Linked DNA regions of Macaca mulatta. The protein of the gene in region 1 purifies or fractionates together with the protein of each later gene. This does not show direct contact. Links are inferred from orthologs where the notes say so. Each region holds a gene or a part of one and is shown on either strand. Other genes may lie near its edges. The genes, in order: BNIP1, NBAS and RINT1.

Region 1 (5,429 bases):
TTGGGAGTTGTGGGAGAGGGGGACAGGATTTCAGAGGTTGGTGGTCCTTAGTTATGGGTGGTGGACACATGACATTTCATGATATCATGCTGTCTGCTTTGTGATGGTTCGAAATTCTCCGTAATAATAAAGTTTAAAAAGAAAGGCCTATTAGGTTTTTACTTAGCAAGACCTCAGGGTTTTGAAATCGCAGCAGGCAGGCGTGGAGAAAGCGGGCAGAGGAGGACTCCTGTTCTGTGTTTGTTTTTCTCCTTTTATCTGTCATTTTCAAAACGCTGCTGTGTTTCCTCTGATAATTTATCTTATTCACTTGTTAGCTTTTAATTTTGTGAAAAGGTAACACATACAACATAGAGAAGGGTAAAAACTCGAGCCCAGGACTGCCAGCAGAAACATAACAGGAGCCACATATGGAACTTTAAATTTTCTAGTAGGCACATTTTAAAAAGTAAAAAGAAACATAAGAAATTAATTTTAATAAAATAGTTTATTTAATCCATTATGTAAAATATTGTAATTTCAACATACAACTAATATTAAAAATTATTGAGATATTTTACATTCCTTTTTCTCTTTTTTGTTTTTTGAGAAGGAGTCTCGCTCTGTTGCCCAGGCTGGAGTGCAGTGGCGCCATCTCGGCTCACTGCAAGCTCCGCCTCCCAGGTTCACGCCATTCTCCTGCCTCAGCCTCCCGAGTAGCTGGGACTACAGGCACCCGCCACCACGCCCAGCTAATTTTTTGTATTTTTAGTAGAGACGGGGTTTCACCATGTTAGCCAGGATGGTCTTGATCTCCTGACCTCGTGATCTGCCTGCACCTGGCCCTTTTTCTCATATTAAGTCTTTGAAACATTGTGTGGATTTTGGCAAGGCACAGTGGCTCACACCTGTAATCACAGCACTTTGGGAGGCTGAGGCGGGTGGATCACCTGAGGTCAGGAGTTTGAGACCAGCCTGGCCAACATGGTGAAACCCCGTCTCTACTAAAAATACAGGAAGAAAATTAGCTGGGCGTGTGGTGCATGCCTGTAATCCCAGCTACTCGGGAGGCTGAGGCAGGAGAATCATTTGAACCCAGGAAGTGGAGGTTGTGATGAACCAAGATCATGCCACTACACTCCAGCCTGGATGACAGAGTGAGACTGCATCTCAAAAACAAACAAACAGGCCGGGCGCGGTGGCTCAAGCCTGTAATCCCAGCACTTTGGGAGGCCGAGGCGGGTGGATCACGAGGTCAGGAGATCGAGACTATCCTGGCTAACATGGTGAAACCCCGTCTCTACTAAAAATACAAAAAAAAACTAGCCGGGCGTGGTGGCGGGCGCCTGTAGTCTCAGCTACTTGGGAGGCTGAGGCGGGAGAATGGCGTGAACCCGGGAGGCGGAGCTTGCAGTGAGCCGAGATCATGCCACTGCACTCCAGCCTGGGAGACACAGCGAGACTCCGTCTCAAAAAACAAACAAACAAACAAACAAACAAACAAAAAAACATTTTGTGGATTTGACGCTCACTGACATCTCCATTTGGATTAGCCACGTTTTTCTATGCACAGCAGCCTTGCATGTCTAGGGGCTGCCATATTGGCCAGCACAGCTCTGGGCAGTACAAAAGGGACAGAGAAAAGGTCACTGTCTGTTCTGACCTCCAGCTGACCCCTACCTGCCAGCCCTCTGGTCCACTTCCCAGAGGCAACCAGTGTTACCAGTGTCTTTTTAAAAAAATATCTTGTGATCCTCCAAGCTTTTGTAACTTAAGCAAATGAAATACTATTTTATCTCCCTGTTTCTTACCTAAATGGAAACATTTCACAGGTGTTCCTTTACACTTTCCCTTTTCGCTCAACGTATTCTATTCAGTGGCTGTTCTGATGATGCCTCACTCTGTTTTGTGAGAGAATCTCGCCAGGTACACCTTCTACCCTCAGCGTCATGCCCAGATACCCATATTCAGAAATACATCTGACTCTGGGCACAATGATCCCTTAAGGGATATTGGCCTCTTCTTAGGTGTCACCTTCTTAAAGCTACAGCCAGTGTCCCTGGACTGAGGGACTGGTATGTGTGAGGGCTTAAGGCAGAGCCTGGCATACCCTTGCCCTTTTGAGATCCTGCAAAGAGCCAGTCTGGCCAGCAGATGTCCTAGAGGCCACACCTCACAGGTGGAAGGTTCTGGTGCGTTCGGCTGCTGCCCCAACACAGACCTCACAGTGCCCGCCCAAGATCCTCGGGTTGGTTTTATGGCTGGTGGTTCCCCTGAACAGCGTCCATCTGCTTCAGAGAGCTGAGGAGGTGGCTGGGGGAGCAAGCCTCTTCTGCCCTTCTCCCTGGTGACATTCACGTTCGAGGACTCCCAAACAAACCGCCTCACTCGCTCGAGCTGATGGGACCTGGGGAGGAGCCTTTCCTTGTCCGCTCCTTGGCTGGTCTCCACATGCTTTGATTCCAGCTCAGAGGAACTCGCTCGAGAATGCTGGTTTTTGTCAGCGTCCCAGCCAGCAGGGTGAGGTCTTTGGATCTTGAGCTGCAGTCTCTCTGAGTTAGGCCTCCTTCCTCTCTTGTTTCAGTCACTTCTTCACGAACGATCCTGGATGCAAATGAAGAATTTAAGTCCATGTCAGGGACCATCCAGCTGGGCCGGAAGCTTATCACAAAATACAATCGCCGGGAGCTGACGGACAAGCTTCTCATCTTCCTTGCGCTGGCTCTGTTTCTTGCTACGGTCCTCTATATCGTGAAAAAGCGGCTCTTTCCGTTTTTGTGAGATCCCAAAGGTGCCAGTTCTGGCCCTTTCAGCTCCTGTTTCAGGATCCTGGTTCCTGAGCTCTAGGCTGCCAAGCTGAGCCACACACCCCTCCATTTGTGCCACTTGCCTGCAGGTTGGATGGAACATAGTGCCCCACTTTTCCGCAAGTGGCTGGCTTGTAAAGGGTGAACAGAACCATGGGAGGGAGGCCTGTCATTGGGATGCCGCCCTGGGGACATAGGAACTGCCTCCTTCCCTCATCGTGCACTATGGGAGGCTGCGGCCACTCTGTGGGGCACTTAAAGTCCAGCCTCCAGGACCCGATGCCTCACCTGTCTCCCTCTCCCACCGTGCCCTTAAATGCCAGATCTGGTGGAGTGAAGAGAGAAGAGGTAGGAAGAAAGGTGATGAAAACTCCTGGTCATTCCTTGAATAAACTTGATTTTATTTAATAGAATAAAATGTATTGGATTTTGTAAGGTAGCCCTCTGAGAATGTGTGTTCCTCTTTCCTTTTTTCTTTTCTTTCTTTTTTTTTTTTTTTTTTGAGATGGAGACTTACTCTGTTGCCCAGGCAGGAGTGCAATGGTGCAATCCTGGGTCACTGCAGTCTCTGCCTCCTGGGTTCAAGAGATTCTCTTGCCTCAGCCCCCCAAGTAGCTGGGATTACAGGCATGCACCACCACACCCTGCTAATTTTTGTATTTTTATAGTAGAGATAGGGTTTCTCCATGTTGGCCAGGCTGATCTCAAACACCTGACCTCAGGTGATCCACCCGTCTTGGCCTCCCAAAGTGCTGGGATTACAGGTGTGAGCCACCAAGCCCGGCCCTCTTTTCTTGATGTCTGGATTTCTAGGACATGAACTTAGATTATTTATTCATTCATTCAACAAAGAATTATCATTATTAATTTTCTTTCTGTCGCCACCCAACAACAAGGAACTATTAAATAGCTGCCACGCACAGGGTGTTACAGACACTGCTGAACATTACAAATACATTGGTAAACCAGACGTGGTTCCTCCCTCAAGGAGGAACAGAAGGAGGCACAGAAATAAAATCTTCCAGACTATCAGGAAGGAGGGTCCAACAGCCCCTGTTCAACCAGGTGTAGTGAGTGATACCTCTAATCCCAGCATTTTGGGAGGCTGAGGCAGGATGATCACTTGAGCCTAGGAGTTCAAGACCAGCTGGGCAACATAGCAAGACCCTGTCTGTATTAAAACAACAACAACAACAACAACAAAAAACAGAAACAGAACAGAAAACAGCCCTTGTTGGAAGTGGCTCATACCAACATCTGAAAAGGTTGAGAGATGCCTTTCTCTACCACAGCAGCCTGGCCAGGCCTGGGGGTGTGCAGTGATTCGGGCTGGCACATGCCTTTCTCTCTGATGTCCAGAGCTAAGTATAACGAAGGAGGGAGAAGCTAGTGAGAAGCTGAGACTGTGAGCCCGAGTTCTGTCCAGGCCAGAGGGAGAGGGCCCAGGCTAGGCCAGCCCTAGAGGTGCTGTGTCTTTTGTGCTACAGGCCTGGCTGACCTCAAGCTTGAAATCCCAGCCTCCCCCACTATTTATAGCCCCAGAGGACTTGGGAGGGGCAGTGTGGAGGCTGAAGGGAAAGTGGAAATAACATGGACTTTGACCCTTGGCTCAAACACTTGGTTTTGAGATTTGGCTCCACTGCTAATGGACCGCAGGACCATTAGCAAGTTACCATATGTTGCTAAACCTCAGTTTTCCCATCTGTAAAATGGAGGAGATAGTCCATATGGGTCCTCATAGAGTCAACTTGAGAATGCAAAGAGAATATAAAGCAGCAAGTGTAGCTAGCTGTCTTCAGACCAGGCCTGCCATGGCGTTTCCAAATGCTGCCACCCCCAGGGCCCTGGGCACTGAGATTTTCTGCAGCTGACAGCAGAGGTGCTTCAGGAAAAGCTGGGCCAGGCACCAGCATTCTGTTAGAGGTGTTTGAGCAGAGGATGTCAAGAGTTATGGCCTCAGTTATAAAGTGGCAGATCATCATGGCACCAAGTTACAAAAACCTAGCTGCACATCTCAGACTAGCTTCATGAGTGGATTCTAAATACACACACACACACACACACACACACACACACACGCAAGCACAGATATTTTGTAGGCTGTATATCATCCTTAAACAATTCCTGGCCCCAAAAGACATTCACTGCAGATTGTGCACACATGTGTCTTATTTATAGTCAAATTAAAGCTGAGAATAAAGCACAGATGGGAAATTCCCACTCAGATTCCAGCTGTAAGTGCAGCAGATGGATGTTATCAAGTTAGGATTTTCTTGTCTTAACATTTTTCCTTACTGCTTCCCACTAATTGTCAACATCCTCCTCACAATATGGAATTGCGTGGGCTCTATATGGCCTAAAAATGCTCCCTTTGACACTGTATTCCTCTTTTACTTGCCTCCTTCTGAAAATAGAGTCAAATGTGACCCATTTTGAAATGTCATTGATAACAACATCTTGCAACCTCCATCAGCCACCAGGGTTAATCCTTCCCCAAAGCAGAGCGCGGCCCTCTCCGTGCTCAACCATGAGAGGGCAGTGTCCACATTTGCTCTACCGTCTTGCAGTGAGTGTGGTAATCTTCATCGATCCATTTGAAATGTTCTTTTGGATATATATGCACTGCATGTATATGTATATATG
Region 2 (6,614 bases), on another chromosome or scaffold:
TTTTTGTTCTTGTCACATCATCTCACTTGTGGTTAATATTCAACTGCTGTGTATCAGAGAAGGTTCTTTAGGTTTCAGTTCTTGTATACTTTTTAATTCCTTGAGTGCTAAGTATATTTTCAGGCAGGATGCTAATCTCCAGCTTTAGAAAGAACAAAGAAATAATTATTATGACAAAAAAGTTATAATTCTGCTTTTAGATACATGCGTAGGAATTGTTTTATAGAATTATTTAGATAGATTGCCTTTTCCCTGGGAATATCCTGTCATAAAGTTCCAGAGATAATATAGTTCCATAGAAGAGACCTTTGGCACTTCTCTAGGGCTTGCTCCAATGTCTTTCTGCTTTTACTCTATGTATGTGTGTATGTGCATACATATGTATATATATGTATATATGTATGCATATTTACAATTTCTATACTTAATTGTATCACTTTTTTGTGGGTGTGGGCTATGATAGGATAGAGCAATGAGTAGGAAGAGAGAGTGGAAGTAGAGGATAGGAGTATGGGAGGTGGGCTGTGTTTTCTGACCTCTCCAGGTGACAACTTGTTAGTCCCGAACACCCTTGGATAAGATGTTAAGCTTGTCTTGTTCAGGTTACTGCTTGATAATTCTTTTTGTTATTTATTGAGAAGGAAGACTCAAAAAGTTAACTCTGATACAAGCCCTATCCTCTGTATGAGAACCTTATGATCAGGCATCATAAGTAGACAAGGTATCTTTTTGTCTCCCTTCCTCCTGAGAAGCCTTTGTCCTTGAATTGGCTGTGTTGATCATTGTACAGGTTGCAAATGCACCATGAAGTGATTAATCTGTCTCATGATGTGCTACTTTCAAAAAGATTATTGTTCCATTTGTGCTCTTGAGTTTATGGTAATTAAACCCAAAGGTTTTGGGGTCAATATTTGTTTCAAGTAGCTTTTTCTTATTTTTTTAAAAAAGTTCTTTTCTTTTAATTATACTGAGAATTATTGACAATATAATAAACCTGTATCAACTAGCTCTTTTTCTTTTTATGCAAAATGTTACATCTCAAGTCCTTTACTTTTCTCCTTTCCCTTCCCTTCCAGAGGAAATTATCCTCATATAGATAGTATTCACATACATGTTTCATATCTTCATTATATTTTTGTAACTGCCTTTTGATATTATTTTGTGTTTTAAAAAATGAGCATAAATGTGTTACATATATATATATATTTATATATATATTTTTTTAAAGAGAGGGTCTTATTGCGTTGGTCAGGCTGTAGTACAGTGGCTCTTCACAGGCAAGATCATGGTACACTGTAGCTTTAAACTCCTGGGCTCAAGCAGTCCTCCTGCCTCAGCCTCCCGTGTAGCTGAGACTATAGGCCCATACCGTCGCGCCTGGCCACTAACATTTTGAAATCCTATTTTGTCTTTTCTGATTTCCATAATGTATTTTTTTTCTATTTTTCTTTCATGGAATTATGTTCTTTATTCTTCTTTTCCATCTGTTTTCTTGATTTCTTCAGGTATTAGTCCTCTAATTTGCTGTGTCTACTTATCACTTATGGTGGGTAGTTTCGTGTCTTTTGTGAATGGTTTTATTTTGAACTTACGCTTGCAGATTCTTCCATCACGTGAGTAAAGTGAAATTGTAATCTGGTCTTGCATGTAGTACAGACTTGGACTTTCACGTTTTCATGGGAGATTTGATTCCGGTCCTCCACAGAACCGTGGTTCCAGGGAAGAAGAGAGTCTGTAGTCTCCCTGGGCCTATGGTGAAGTGTTTCTGGTTCCTTAAGTGACCTGGTGCAGTCATTGCTTTTGCAGGATTCTCACTTCCAACTCCTGTCCTCTCTTTGGTTCAATGGCTCATTTCCTAGCCTGCGTGCTAAGTCCTGTTTTGAGTCCTTGTCTCTCTCTTTACCCTGTGCCCAATTCTAGCTTTCGGTGACCTTTTCATTTCTAGTACTTGGAAATTTATCTTTCTTTCTTGTGAGTTTAACTCGATGTTAAAATTTGTTTTTGTTACAGCTGAGCCAGAGTTCCTAGGTAGTTAGAGCAGAAAGGGTTGGTGTAAGTGTACTCTGCTCTGTCATTGGTATGCTAGATGTCTGTTTCCTGGGAAGTACATAACTATACCTTTGAACACACCACTGTGTTTTTTGGAAATAGAGAAATATATATGGTCAAATTTCAGCTACCAAATAGTAACTTTTGGTTTTGGATTTGCTAATATTCAAATTTTATATTCTAATGGAAAAAAAATCTCTCTCTGTCTCTCTGTAAGTATATGTGCTCTTTGTGTGCTTATATGTGGTTTTCATGAGTAGATTTTAAGCTAACTAATGTGTTGTAATTTCAGCCCTGCACCTTTTTTGCTCCCTGATGGACTGGTTCGCTTGATTAATAAACAAATAAACTGGCATTTGGTACTAGCAAGGTAAGGAAGTGTAAAATTCATATGTGTTTCTATCTGGATTTGCTTTTACATTTCATTATGGATGTTGATTTTGGAATCCTCATGGCTTTCAGTCTTTTTATTGTATGTAAATCTCTTTGTTGCAAATATTTAGTATTGTTTAAACATGTTAATTCATGCTGTATTAAATCATTTCGTATGCTTTTGTACCTATATCCTCATCTAATTGTAAGGTCAAAAGATGGATAATTAAAGCATGTGAACAAATTTAGAAATGATTTTTAACTTATTAAAGTTAAAAATTAAACTTATTAAATAATTATTAAACTTATTAAATAATTCCATCTGTGTTGAAAACTGCTACAGATATTGATAATAGATTTTCTTCCCCCTCTTTCTTCTCCATAAAAGCAATGGAAAGCTTTTGGCTGCTGTTCAAGATCAGTGTGTGGAAATCAGGTAATTGTTAATATTATTCATATTCAAGATTTCCTTTGAGAAACGTTTGTTACTCTGTAAATGGAAACTAAGATTTTTATAGGGGGTATATTTAAAAGGATTTTATTTTTAACTCACTTAATTTTGTGAGTGTCAAACACCAACTTATGCCAGTTGGAAAATTAAGGATGCTTTCTCAGAGTTATATGCTTATCTTTCTCCTTCCCCAGATCATTCTGTTGCTTCTTAAGAAATTTTACTTTCTCGGTAAACGAGGCCTATCCTCCAGAACTGTGGAAATCACTTTGTTTGACTATTTACTGCTACATCAGCTAAACAGACACTCAGGAAGGTGTAAAAGAGTAGGGATGGTTCAGCACTTTGGGAGGCTGCGGCGGGCGGATCACAAGGTCAAGAGATTGAGATCATCCTGGCCAACATGGTGAAACCCTGACTCTCCTAAAATTACAAAAATTCGCTGGGCATGGTGGCGTGCACCTGTAGTTCCAGCTATTCGGGAGGCTGAGGCAGGAGAATTGCTTGAACCTGGGAGGCAGTGAGCCGAGAACTGGTTGCAGTGAGCAGAGATTGTGCCACTGCACTCCAGTCTGGCGACAGAGCGAGACTCCATCTCAAAAAAAAAAAAAAAAAAAAAAGGGATGGTTTTGCTCTGTTGGTTCAAAACTGTAGATTGAATATGGGTGTTCAAAAGACCAAGGTTACGTATTACTTGAGACCAATTATGCTGTCTGTCGTCTTGAGACATTCAGTGGTATTATATACACATCTAAAGACGTCTCTAAACTGGACTTTTCAGGTGTTTTATTTTTAAACAATGTATCAGTTATGAAAGAAATATCCATAGCAACTAAGAAAAATGAGTTCATTCTTTAGGAAATGTTATTAGGAAAATCATGTGGAAGAGGAATATATTTACTATTCATTAAGTGGAAGTGGACCGTTATAAAGGTCTTCATTATTGTCATCTTCACATGGAGTGGGCTGAGGAGGAGGAGGAAGAAGGGAAGGTGGTCCTGCTGTCTCAGAGTGGTAGAGGTAGAAGAAAATCCACATAGACATGGACCTGCACAGTTGAAACCTGTGTTGTTCAAGGATCAACTGTAGTAATTCCATATTTCCTTGAGTGCACATAGCGAAGTTTAATCTCTTTATACTGGATATTATTTTCCTCCTTTATAAATGAGACCATACCAGTTTTTTTGATATTCATATGTATCTGTAATTATTTCCTGGGGATAACTTTATAGAAATAGAATTGTTAGGTCAAACGCTACCGACATGAAGGTTTTGGATAATTGTTTTTAAATTATTTTCTAGAAGGTTTGCCAGTTTTCATTTTTAAATATTTTATAATAATTATGCTACTTGGTATATATTTCAGGATCACAGATTTAAAACAGGTTATTGATTTAAATATGGTGACGTATTAAGGCTCTTTGATTTCTTAAAATACGACTTTTTTCCCCTAAGTGATCAAACTTTGTAATATGATACAGACCAGTGGTTCTTAATTAGGATTGATGTATCCAGCAAAAAAATATTTTTGCTTGGGCCCCATCCCAGATTTCTTGATTCAGAACCTTTAGGGATGGGGACCAGACATCTCTATTGTATGAAAAGACCATGGTAAATTCACTTAGGCTGTGTCACTATATTCCATGTATATATCTCCATACAAAGTAGCTGTGTATCTGATGCAATAAGAAGGTTGGAAGAAAATATTGTCACTGACAAAAGGGTCATAATTGAGCCACAAAACCATGTCTGAGAGGAGAAATGATTGAGCATTGTATATAGAGACTATCTAGTCCACAGTATCTGGTATTTTATGGTTCTATACAATGTTATGATAAAACTTTTGCCTTGATTTTACATGTTTTACAGGTCTGCAAAAGATGATTTTACATCCATTATCGGGAAATGTCAAGGTAAGAGTTTCCAAAATATTTAAAGAATGAAAATTTCAAATGTGCAATGGTTTACAATGTTTCTTAAAAGTTAGGATAGATATTAAATGTTTATTAAGGATTATCATGACTATTAAAATAATTAAACAACATAACTGCTTTTTTTTTTTTTTTTTTTACTGTCTTAAATATTTTGCTTTAAAATGGTTCATTTTGGTGAGATTTGGAAACTGGGTTCCAAAAAATGTCTAAGCCAGTTTTGGGATGAAGTATTTTTAACTGTCTGTAGCCTTTTATTTTGGATTAAATGCAGAAATAAATAGGTGTAAGTCAAGAGTTAGAAACAGACTAGTAAAAAGTCTAGGATTTGGTCATGTTTAAAATATATTCAGCAAAAATTTACTGACTGTAATTTATGTGTATGTGCTGTTTTGCTGGGTGCTTGAGGTATGATTGTGAGCAAAAAGACCTGGTCTTTTATCTCATGAAGCATATAGATGCTCAAATATATAATTACAAACTTTGACAAATCTAATTAAGGAAAAATTAAATCCCATGAGATTTCTCAACTAGGGGTGGCAGATGAGATGGCTGAGAAAGAAAAATGACTTTTGGAAAGCAACTTTAAGAATGAGTAGTCTGGGCACAGTGGCTCATACCTGTAATCCCAGTACTTTGGGAGGCTGAGGTGGGCGGATCACTTGCGGTCAGGAGTTTGAGACCTGCTTGGCTGACATGGTGAAACCCCGTCTCTATTAAAAATACAAAAATTAGCCAGGCGTGGTGACACATGCCTGTAATTCCAACTACCTGGGAGGCCAAGGCAAGAGAATCGCTTGAACCTGGGAGATGGAGGTGACAGTGAGCCAAGATTGAGCCACTGGACTCCAGCATGGGCAACAGAGTCAGACTCTGCCTCAAAAAAAAAAAAAAAAAAAAGAATGACTAGAAGGTAGAAGAAGACAGGGAGTATTTCGGTCTGCAGGAGCAGTGTATGAAAAGGCAGAAGGAGCTGGGCGTGGTGGCTCATGCCTATAATCCCAGCACTTTGGGAGGCCAAGGTGGGTGGATCACAGGGTCAGGAGTTCGAGACCAGCCTGACCAACATGGTGAAACACCGTCTCTACTAAAAATACAAAAATTAGCCAGGCATAATGGTATGTGCCTGTAATCCCAGCTACTCAGGAGGCTGAGGCAGGAGAATCGCTTGAATTTAGGAGGAGGAGGTTGCAGTGAGCCAAGATCACGCTACTGCCCTCCAGCCTGGGCGGCAACAGTGAGACTCCATCTCAAAAAAGAAAGAAAAAAAAGAAAAGGTAGAAGGAACCTTATGGGAGAGAAAGAGAGTGGTTTTAGGAAAATGCATCTATTACCTTTGTTTTATTTACAGGACCTGCAGTTCCATCTGTCTGATCTTGTGTTAGTTTAACAGTGTAATTGTTGTAGGAAGTATAATGATGGTAATCATGGTCATTGTGTTCATTTATATACAAACATTTATAGTGTTCTTACTGTATGCCTGGCACTGTATTTAGGGCTTTATATGATTTTCTTGTGTAATAGAAATACAGCAGTATAAATATTTTATCTTAAAACAGTATTAGGATAAAATATATATTTGACATCAATAGAGAGCAAGGAGGTGGGAGGCACTGGTAGTTTTCAGAACTATAATATGGTAATACAGAAGATTCCCCCACTCCCTCATGGAAATACTGTTATTTTTAATTTTTTAAAATTTTTTTTATTTTTTGAGATAGGGCCTGGCAACAGGGCCTCACTCTCTTGCCAGGCTGGAGGGCAGTGGTGTGATCATGGTTCACTGCAGCCTGACCTTGTGGGCTGAAGCG
Region 3 (6,614 bases), on another chromosome or scaffold:
ACTCTTCAGTACATACCAAGAGAAATGAAACATATGTCCACATAAAAACTTGTACTGCCGAGCGTGGTGGCTTATGCCTGTAATCCCAGCACTTTGGGAGGCTGAGGTGGGCAGATCATGAGGTCAGGAGTTTGAGACCAGTCTGACCAATATGGTGAAACACCATCTCTACGAAAACTACAAAAAAAAAAAAATTAGCCGGGCATCATGGTACACACCTGTAATCCCAGGTACTCAGGAGGCTGAGGCAGGAGAATTGCTTGAACCCAGGAGGTAGAGGTGGAGGTTGCAGTTAGCCGAGGCATGATCTCAGCTCACTGCAACCTCTGCCCTCCAGGTTCACGCAATTCAGCCTCCTGAGTAGCTAGGATTACAGGCACATGCCACTATGCCCAGCTAATTTTTGTATTTTTAGTAGATGGGGTGTCACAATGTTGGAATGTTGGCCAGGCTGGTTTCGAACTCCTGACCTCAGGTGATCCACCCACCTCGGCCTCCCAAAGTACTGGGATTACAGGCGTGAGCCACCGTGCCCAGCTGAATTATACACTTTAAATGGGTGAATTGTATGATATATGAATTCTCTTTCAAGCTGTTTAAAAAAAAAAAGTATGTTAATGTGTTAACATGTTTTTGCTTTCAGTTCTTTCTACAACTTCAACAGGCTGCACTGGAGGTGTTTGCAGAGAATAATACTCTGAGTAAATTGCAGCTGGGACAGCTAGCCTCTATGGAGAGCTCCGTCTTTGATGACATGATTAACCTCTTAGAGCGTTTAAAGCATGATATGTTGACCCGTCAAGTAGACCATGTTTTTAGAGAAGTTAAAGATGCTGCAAAATTGTATAAAAAAGAAAGGTATGTCCTCTATGTAAGTCAGCTCTTAATACCAGTTTGGTAAAAGTTGAAGATGGTATATGTGGTCAGATTTCCAAGGTATCTAGATAGAACCTGGTTTGGCCTTATGTACTTTAAACTTCATTGTTGGAAATCTTTCTAAAATATGTTCTTGGACATTTTTTTTTTTTTTCAAGACAGTCCTACTCTGTCACCCAGGCTGGAGTGCAGTTGCATGATCTCGGCTCATTGCAGCCTCCACCTTAGAGGTCAAGTGATCTTCCCACCTCAGCCTCCCAAGTAGCTGGGACTACAGGCATGCACCACCACACCCGGCTAATTTTTGTAGTTTTAGTGGAGACCTGGTTTCACATTTTGGCAGGCTGATCTCCAGCTCCTGACCTCAGGCAATCCACTGCCTCGGCCTCCCAATGTGCTAGGATTACAGGTGTGAGCCATCACACCTGGCTCGCTGACATTCTTAATCAGAATAAACTGGTTATAATTTAGCTGTTTGTAAATATATTAATAGGATAGTGTGTGATATGGGGTTGAATAGCCTAACCTGTCTCCCATTTTGCAAAGTAAAGTCACCTGTGGTACTCTGCATACTTTTGTTGTGGTTTATCCCACTACCATTCACTGTGAACACCTGTGTTACTTTCATCCTTGATAGCAAGCAGTATCTTTTTGTCCTAGTGTAGTCCCTGCCACACAGAGTGCCAAAAATTTGTGTTATTCGTCCTGATTTTACTAAAAATCAGAGCATAATATTAGCTGATGTCTTAATTAAAATGCTAAAATCAGGTTGGGTGCAGTGGCTCACACCTGTAATCCCAGCACTTTGGGACGCCAAGGCAGGCAGATCACTTGAGAGCAGGAATTCGAAACTAGCCTGGCCAACGTGGTGAAACTCTGTCTCTACTAAAAATACAAAGATTAGCTGGGCGTGGTGCTGGGCACCTGTAATCCCAGCTACTTGGGAGGCTGAGACACGAGAATTGCTTGAACCCTCTGGCTCTAGCCTGGCCAACAGAGCGAGACTCTGTCTCAAAAAAAAAAAAAAAAACCAAAAACCAAAACAAAACAAAAACTACATAAAATGCAAAAATTAAGTGACATTTAAATTGTAATTGCTTTGTATTGGTAATCCCCATATTAAAATTTGGGGATATTTCCAAAATATCCCCATATTAAAGAGTATTTGAGAGTGAAAATATAAAATACAGGTACATTTATTTTCTGATAGAGCTTTTAATGTTGGACTGTGTATTTTTTCTTATCCAAAATGCCCTAGAACACTTCCTCCAATTTAAAATGACTTAAAAACTTTAAAAATACAAACCAATGAAAATTTTTTGGTAAAAATGTGTTTTTTCCAGATGGTTGTCCTTGCCATCTCAGTCAGAGCAGGCAGTGATGTCCCTGTCCAGTTCGGCCTGCCCCTTACTGCTGACTTTACGAGACCATTTACTTCAGTTGGAGCAGCAGCTTTGTTTCTCCTTATTTAAAATTTTCTGGCAAATGCTTGTAGAGAAGCTGGATGTATACATCTACCAAGAAGTAAGTAAGAATAGACTGTCTTTGGGCTGTGATAATAAAGACAAGCATTAAATGAATTATTCTTTGTTTCAGATAATTCTTGCTAATCACTTCAATGAAGGAGGAGCAGCCCAGCTGCAGTTTGATATGACTCGGAATCTTTTCCCTTTGTTTTCTCACTATTGCAAGAGACCAGAAAATTATTTTAAACAGTAAGCTCAACATTTAACAATTAATATTAATGTATCAAATTGTTACAGGAGGCTAACTCCTTTTAACTTTAGGGTTCTGGAGATGTTTGGGTGGGATAAGATCAGTTGAAGTTTTAAAACATTGTCTACTGTATGTTTACAGCACAATGGGGAAACCAAAATGATAGATGTGACCCGTGACCTCAAAAGGTTTCAGAACTAGATATAAATTATATACTGGGTTTTGTTTTCTAGTATTTGGTTTAATGCTTCTAGTTGCTTGGTTACTGGAGGAATAAATCGAAAATGAAAAAAAGTTGTGCCCTATTCACTAAATATAAGAAATTACAGGGCCGGGTGCAGTGGCTCACGCCTGTAATCACAACACTTTGGGAGGCCGAGACGGGCGGATCACGAGGTCAGGAGATCGAGACCATCCTGGCTAACATGATGATACCCCATCTCTACTAAAAATACAAAAAAAAAAAAAAAATTAGCCAGGCATGGTAGCGGGTGCCTGTAGTTCCAGCTACTCGGGAGGCTGAGGCAGGAGAATGGCGTGAACCTGGGAGGCGGAGCTTGCAGTGAGCTGAGATTGCACCACTGCACTCCAGCCTGGGAAACAGAGCAAGACTGTGTCTCAAAAAAACAACAACAAAAAAAATTACAAATATGTTTAATACTTAATAGGCCAGGCCTGAAAGAAATTTGTTTCCTTAAACATTTGACATTAATTTTGGTTCTAACTGTAATTATAGTTTGAGAATTTGTTGATATAAAATTTAAATTATAGACCAGGCATAGTAGCCCACACCTGTAATCCCAGTACTTTGGGAGGCAGAGGTGGGAGAATTGCTTGAGGCCAGGTGTTTGAGACCAGCCTGGGCAACATAGCAAGACTCCATCTCTACAAAAAGTATTAAAATGAACAAACAAAAAGCCAGATGTGGTGGTATGGACCTGTAGTCCTAGCTACTTGGGAGACTGAGGCTGTAGTGAGCTATGATCATGCAATGGCACTCCAGCCTAGGTGACAGAGCAAGATGATGTCTCAAAAAAAAAAGTAAAATTTGAACTGTTTGGGTTTTGTGAGGTTATAAAGCATTCCTTTTAAACTTGTAAAATGAAAGCTTATGTTTACATGTTTCATATGACAGCTTTTAAAATTTAATGTTCTTTCTGCTGCCTTCATTTTATCCCTTATTTTTGTCTTTTCCCATATTCTAATCTACCTAAAGTTATAGCCATATTTAATATAGTATTAATATCAAGTATTGTATTTAGGGAAATAATGGATACATATTGAAATAGGGATCCTATCACCTTAATCTAAAGAAATAGAAACTCTGCACCTGTGTAGTCTTACCATGTTAAAAGAACCAAATAATAAATCCATAAGTATTTTTATAGAGAACATGTGGACCAGCAGTACAGAGAAGCTGTTTAGGATTCTCAAAATTGTTATAATATGGTTGATGCGGCCGGGCGCGGTGGCTCAAGCCTGTAATCCCAGCACTTTGGGAGGCCGAGACGGGTGGATCACGAGGTCAGGAGATCGAGACCATCCTGGCTAACACGGTGAAACTCCGTCTCTACTAAAAAAAAAAATACAAAAAAGCCAGGCAAGGTGGCGGGAGGCTGAGGTAGGAGAATGGCAGGAACCCGGGAGGCGGAGCTTGCAGTGAGCCGAGATCGCGCCACGGCACTCCAGCCCGGGCGACAGAGCGAGACTCCGTCTCAAAAAAAAAAAAAAAAATGGTTGATGCAGATAATGGAGATCTCATTTCCCTCCTTTGTGTTCCCTAAACAGCATAAAAGAAGCCTGTATTGTTTTGAATTTGAACGTCGGTTCTGCACTACTCCTGAAAGATGTACTGCAGTCAACTTCAGGGCAACTTCCTGCCACAGCAGCATTAAATGAAGTTGGAATTTACAAACTGGCTCAACAAGATGTTGAGATTCTACTTAATTTGAGGACAAATTGGCCTAATACTGGAAAATAATGTCTTTCAGAAAAACGTTTTCTTGGTTTTTGTTTTTAAGAGGAAGCCAATTGGATTTCAAGTTATACGATGAAATTCTGAATTAATGAAACTGGAAAACTTTATAGGATTAATTATCTTGGATTTATGGCGTTATTAAAATGCTGACCATATTTCCTTCATCCTCTTGTTCCTAAGGAAACAAAAACAGAAAACGAAACAATGAAAACTCATTCTATTTACAAGTATAAATGCTGAGTATGTCTGTTGAAGACAAGAGCAGAGATATTAAATTATAACCAACTTTCAATTTCCTGTGCTAATTAAGGAAAATTCTGTTGTGGATAATCAAACATAGCCAATAAATTTTTTTTTAAACTCACTTTAGAATGCATATTTTAATTGAGGCACCTGTATCTAGTTTGGGAATTCACTATATTTCCTTAAGAAAACTGGCAGGGCACAGTGTCTCATTCCTGTAATCCTAGCACTTTAGGAGACTGAGGTAGGAGGATCGCTTGAGGCAGGAGTGCAAAACCAGCCCGGCCAACATGTCAAGACCCTGATTGCATGTCTGTAGTTCTAGCTACTTGGGAGGCTGAGGTGGGAGGATAACTTGAGCCCAGGAGGTCAAGACTACAGTGAGCTGTGATTGTGACACTGCACTGCAGCCTGGGCAAGTGAACAAGACCCTGTCTCTAAAAAAAAAAAAAAAAAAAAAAAAACCACATTGTGAGATGGTGAATAAGATAGGATTGTTCTTCTTTCTCACAAATGTCCTTCTATTTTAAATGCTTCCTAGTTTCATTCTGTCTGACAGTGGGCAACATTTTCTTTCTGGATGAAACATTTCAGGCCATGGCACTCTGACTCAAACATTCCCACGTGGTAGGGAATGTAATTAAACATTATTATTTATGTAACTGATGAGACAAAAATCTCAAGTTTCTTTTTTCTTGTAACTTTTCCTTGACCTTGGGCTATATTCAATAATAGCTTCTTAACTAATAAAATCTCAGAGTAAAACTTCTTAAAAAATTGAGCTAGATTCCCTGGAAACTTTCTACAACTATTAAATTTTATTCCAGTGGTTTTTCTCTGACTTAGCAGTGATTTAATCCTGTAATATCTCAAAATCTAAAATTAGGCTGGGTGCGGTGGCTCACGCTTGTAATCCCAGTACTTTGGGAGGCCAAGGCGGGTGGATCACCTGAGGTCGGGAGTTTGAGACCAGCCTGACCAACATGGAGAAACCCTGTCTCTGCTGAAAATACGAAATTAGCCGGGCGTGGTGGCGCATGCCTGTAATCCCAGCTACTCAGAAGGCTGAGGCAGGAGAATTGCTTGAACCTGGGAGGCGGAGGTTGCCATGAGCCGAGATCACACCACTGCACTCCAGCCTGGGCAAAAGAGTGAAACTCTGTCTCAAAAAAAAAAAAAAAAATTTAAAATTATCAGACTAACATGCAGCCTATGCTACTGATAAACATTGACTTTGTGATAATTTTGAGCTAAATTGTATTAGTATGTATTTTATAGAGAGAGTTTCCAGCTAGTGTGTTGAGCTCAAAGTGTCTCTGTTAGTTGTCCCAGCATAGTGGTGATTCTTCACCTCATCCTTTGAGAATTGCTGGGGCTTCCTATTTAGAATGGAGCTGGCTGGGCGCAGCCCATTACATGCCTGTAATCCCAGCACTTTGGGAGGCCGAGGCAGTGGATCACTTGAGGTCAGGAGTTCGAGATCAGCCTGGCCAACATGGTGAAACCCTGACTCTACTAAAATTACAAAAGTTTGGGCCTGGTGATGCGCATCTGTAAGCCCAGCTACTGGGAAGCTGAGGCAGGAGAATCGCTTGAAGCTGGGAGGTGGAGGTTGCAGTGAGCTGAGATACTGCCACTGCACTCCAGCCTGGGCAACAGAGCGAGACTCCATCTCAGAAAAAAAAAAAAAAAAAAGAATGAAGCTACCTCCGGAGCTTCCTCTCTAACCCCAGCATTTTCCCCTCCTATTCCCGAGCTTAGAGACTTTACTGTCAGCCTTCCCTGTCCTCACTTTCCAGTC

The links.
Region 2: the proteins of BNIP1 (region 1) and NBAS purify together in Homo sapiens (co-immunoprecipitation; 3 studies listed by BioGRID and IntAct, with this or other methods). This does not show direct contact. The link is inferred for Macaca mulatta from reciprocal best matches to the Homo sapiens genes BNIP1 and NBAS.
Region 3: the proteins of BNIP1 (region 1) and RINT1 purify together in Homo sapiens (co-immunoprecipitation; 3 studies listed by BioGRID and IntAct, counting the BioPlex papers as one, with this or other methods). This does not show direct contact. The link is inferred for Macaca mulatta from reciprocal best matches to the Homo sapiens genes BNIP1 and RINT1.

Annotation. Positions count from the first base shown.
Region 1 is NC_133411.1:182,045,009-182,050,437, forward strand, and holds the end of BNIP1 (vesicle transport protein SEC20), read left to right. Parts: intron 1-2,563; coding exon 2,564-2,760; 3' UTR 2,761-3,223; downstream 3,224-5,429. UniProt on the Homo sapiens protein: As part of a SNARE complex may be involved in endoplasmic reticulum membranes fusion and be required for the maintenance of endoplasmic reticulum organization. Also plays a role in apoptosis.
Region 2 is NC_133418.1:109,395,530-109,402,143, forward strand, and holds part of NBAS (NBAS subunit of NRZ tethering complex), read left to right. Parts: intron 1-2,341; coding exon 2,342-2,419; intron 2,420-2,809; coding exon 2,810-2,857; intron 2,858-4,741; coding exon 4,742-4,785; intron 4,786-6,614. UniProt on the Homo sapiens protein: Involved in Golgi-to-endoplasmic reticulum (ER) retrograde transport; the function is proposed to depend on its association in the NRZ complex which is believed to play a role in SNARE assembly at the ER. Required for normal embryonic development.
Region 3 is NC_133408.1:145,163,720-145,170,333, forward strand, and holds the end of RINT1 (RAD50-interacting protein 1), read left to right. Parts: intron 1-643; coding exon 644-858; intron 859-2,219; coding exon 2,220-2,400; intron 2,401-2,472; coding exon 2,473-2,591; intron 2,592-4,380; coding exon 4,381-4,573; 3' UTR 4,574-4,934; downstream 4,935-6,614. UniProt on the Homo sapiens protein: Involved in regulation of membrane traffic between the Golgi and the endoplasmic reticulum (ER); the function is proposed to depend on its association in the NRZ complex which is believed to play a role in SNARE assembly at the ER.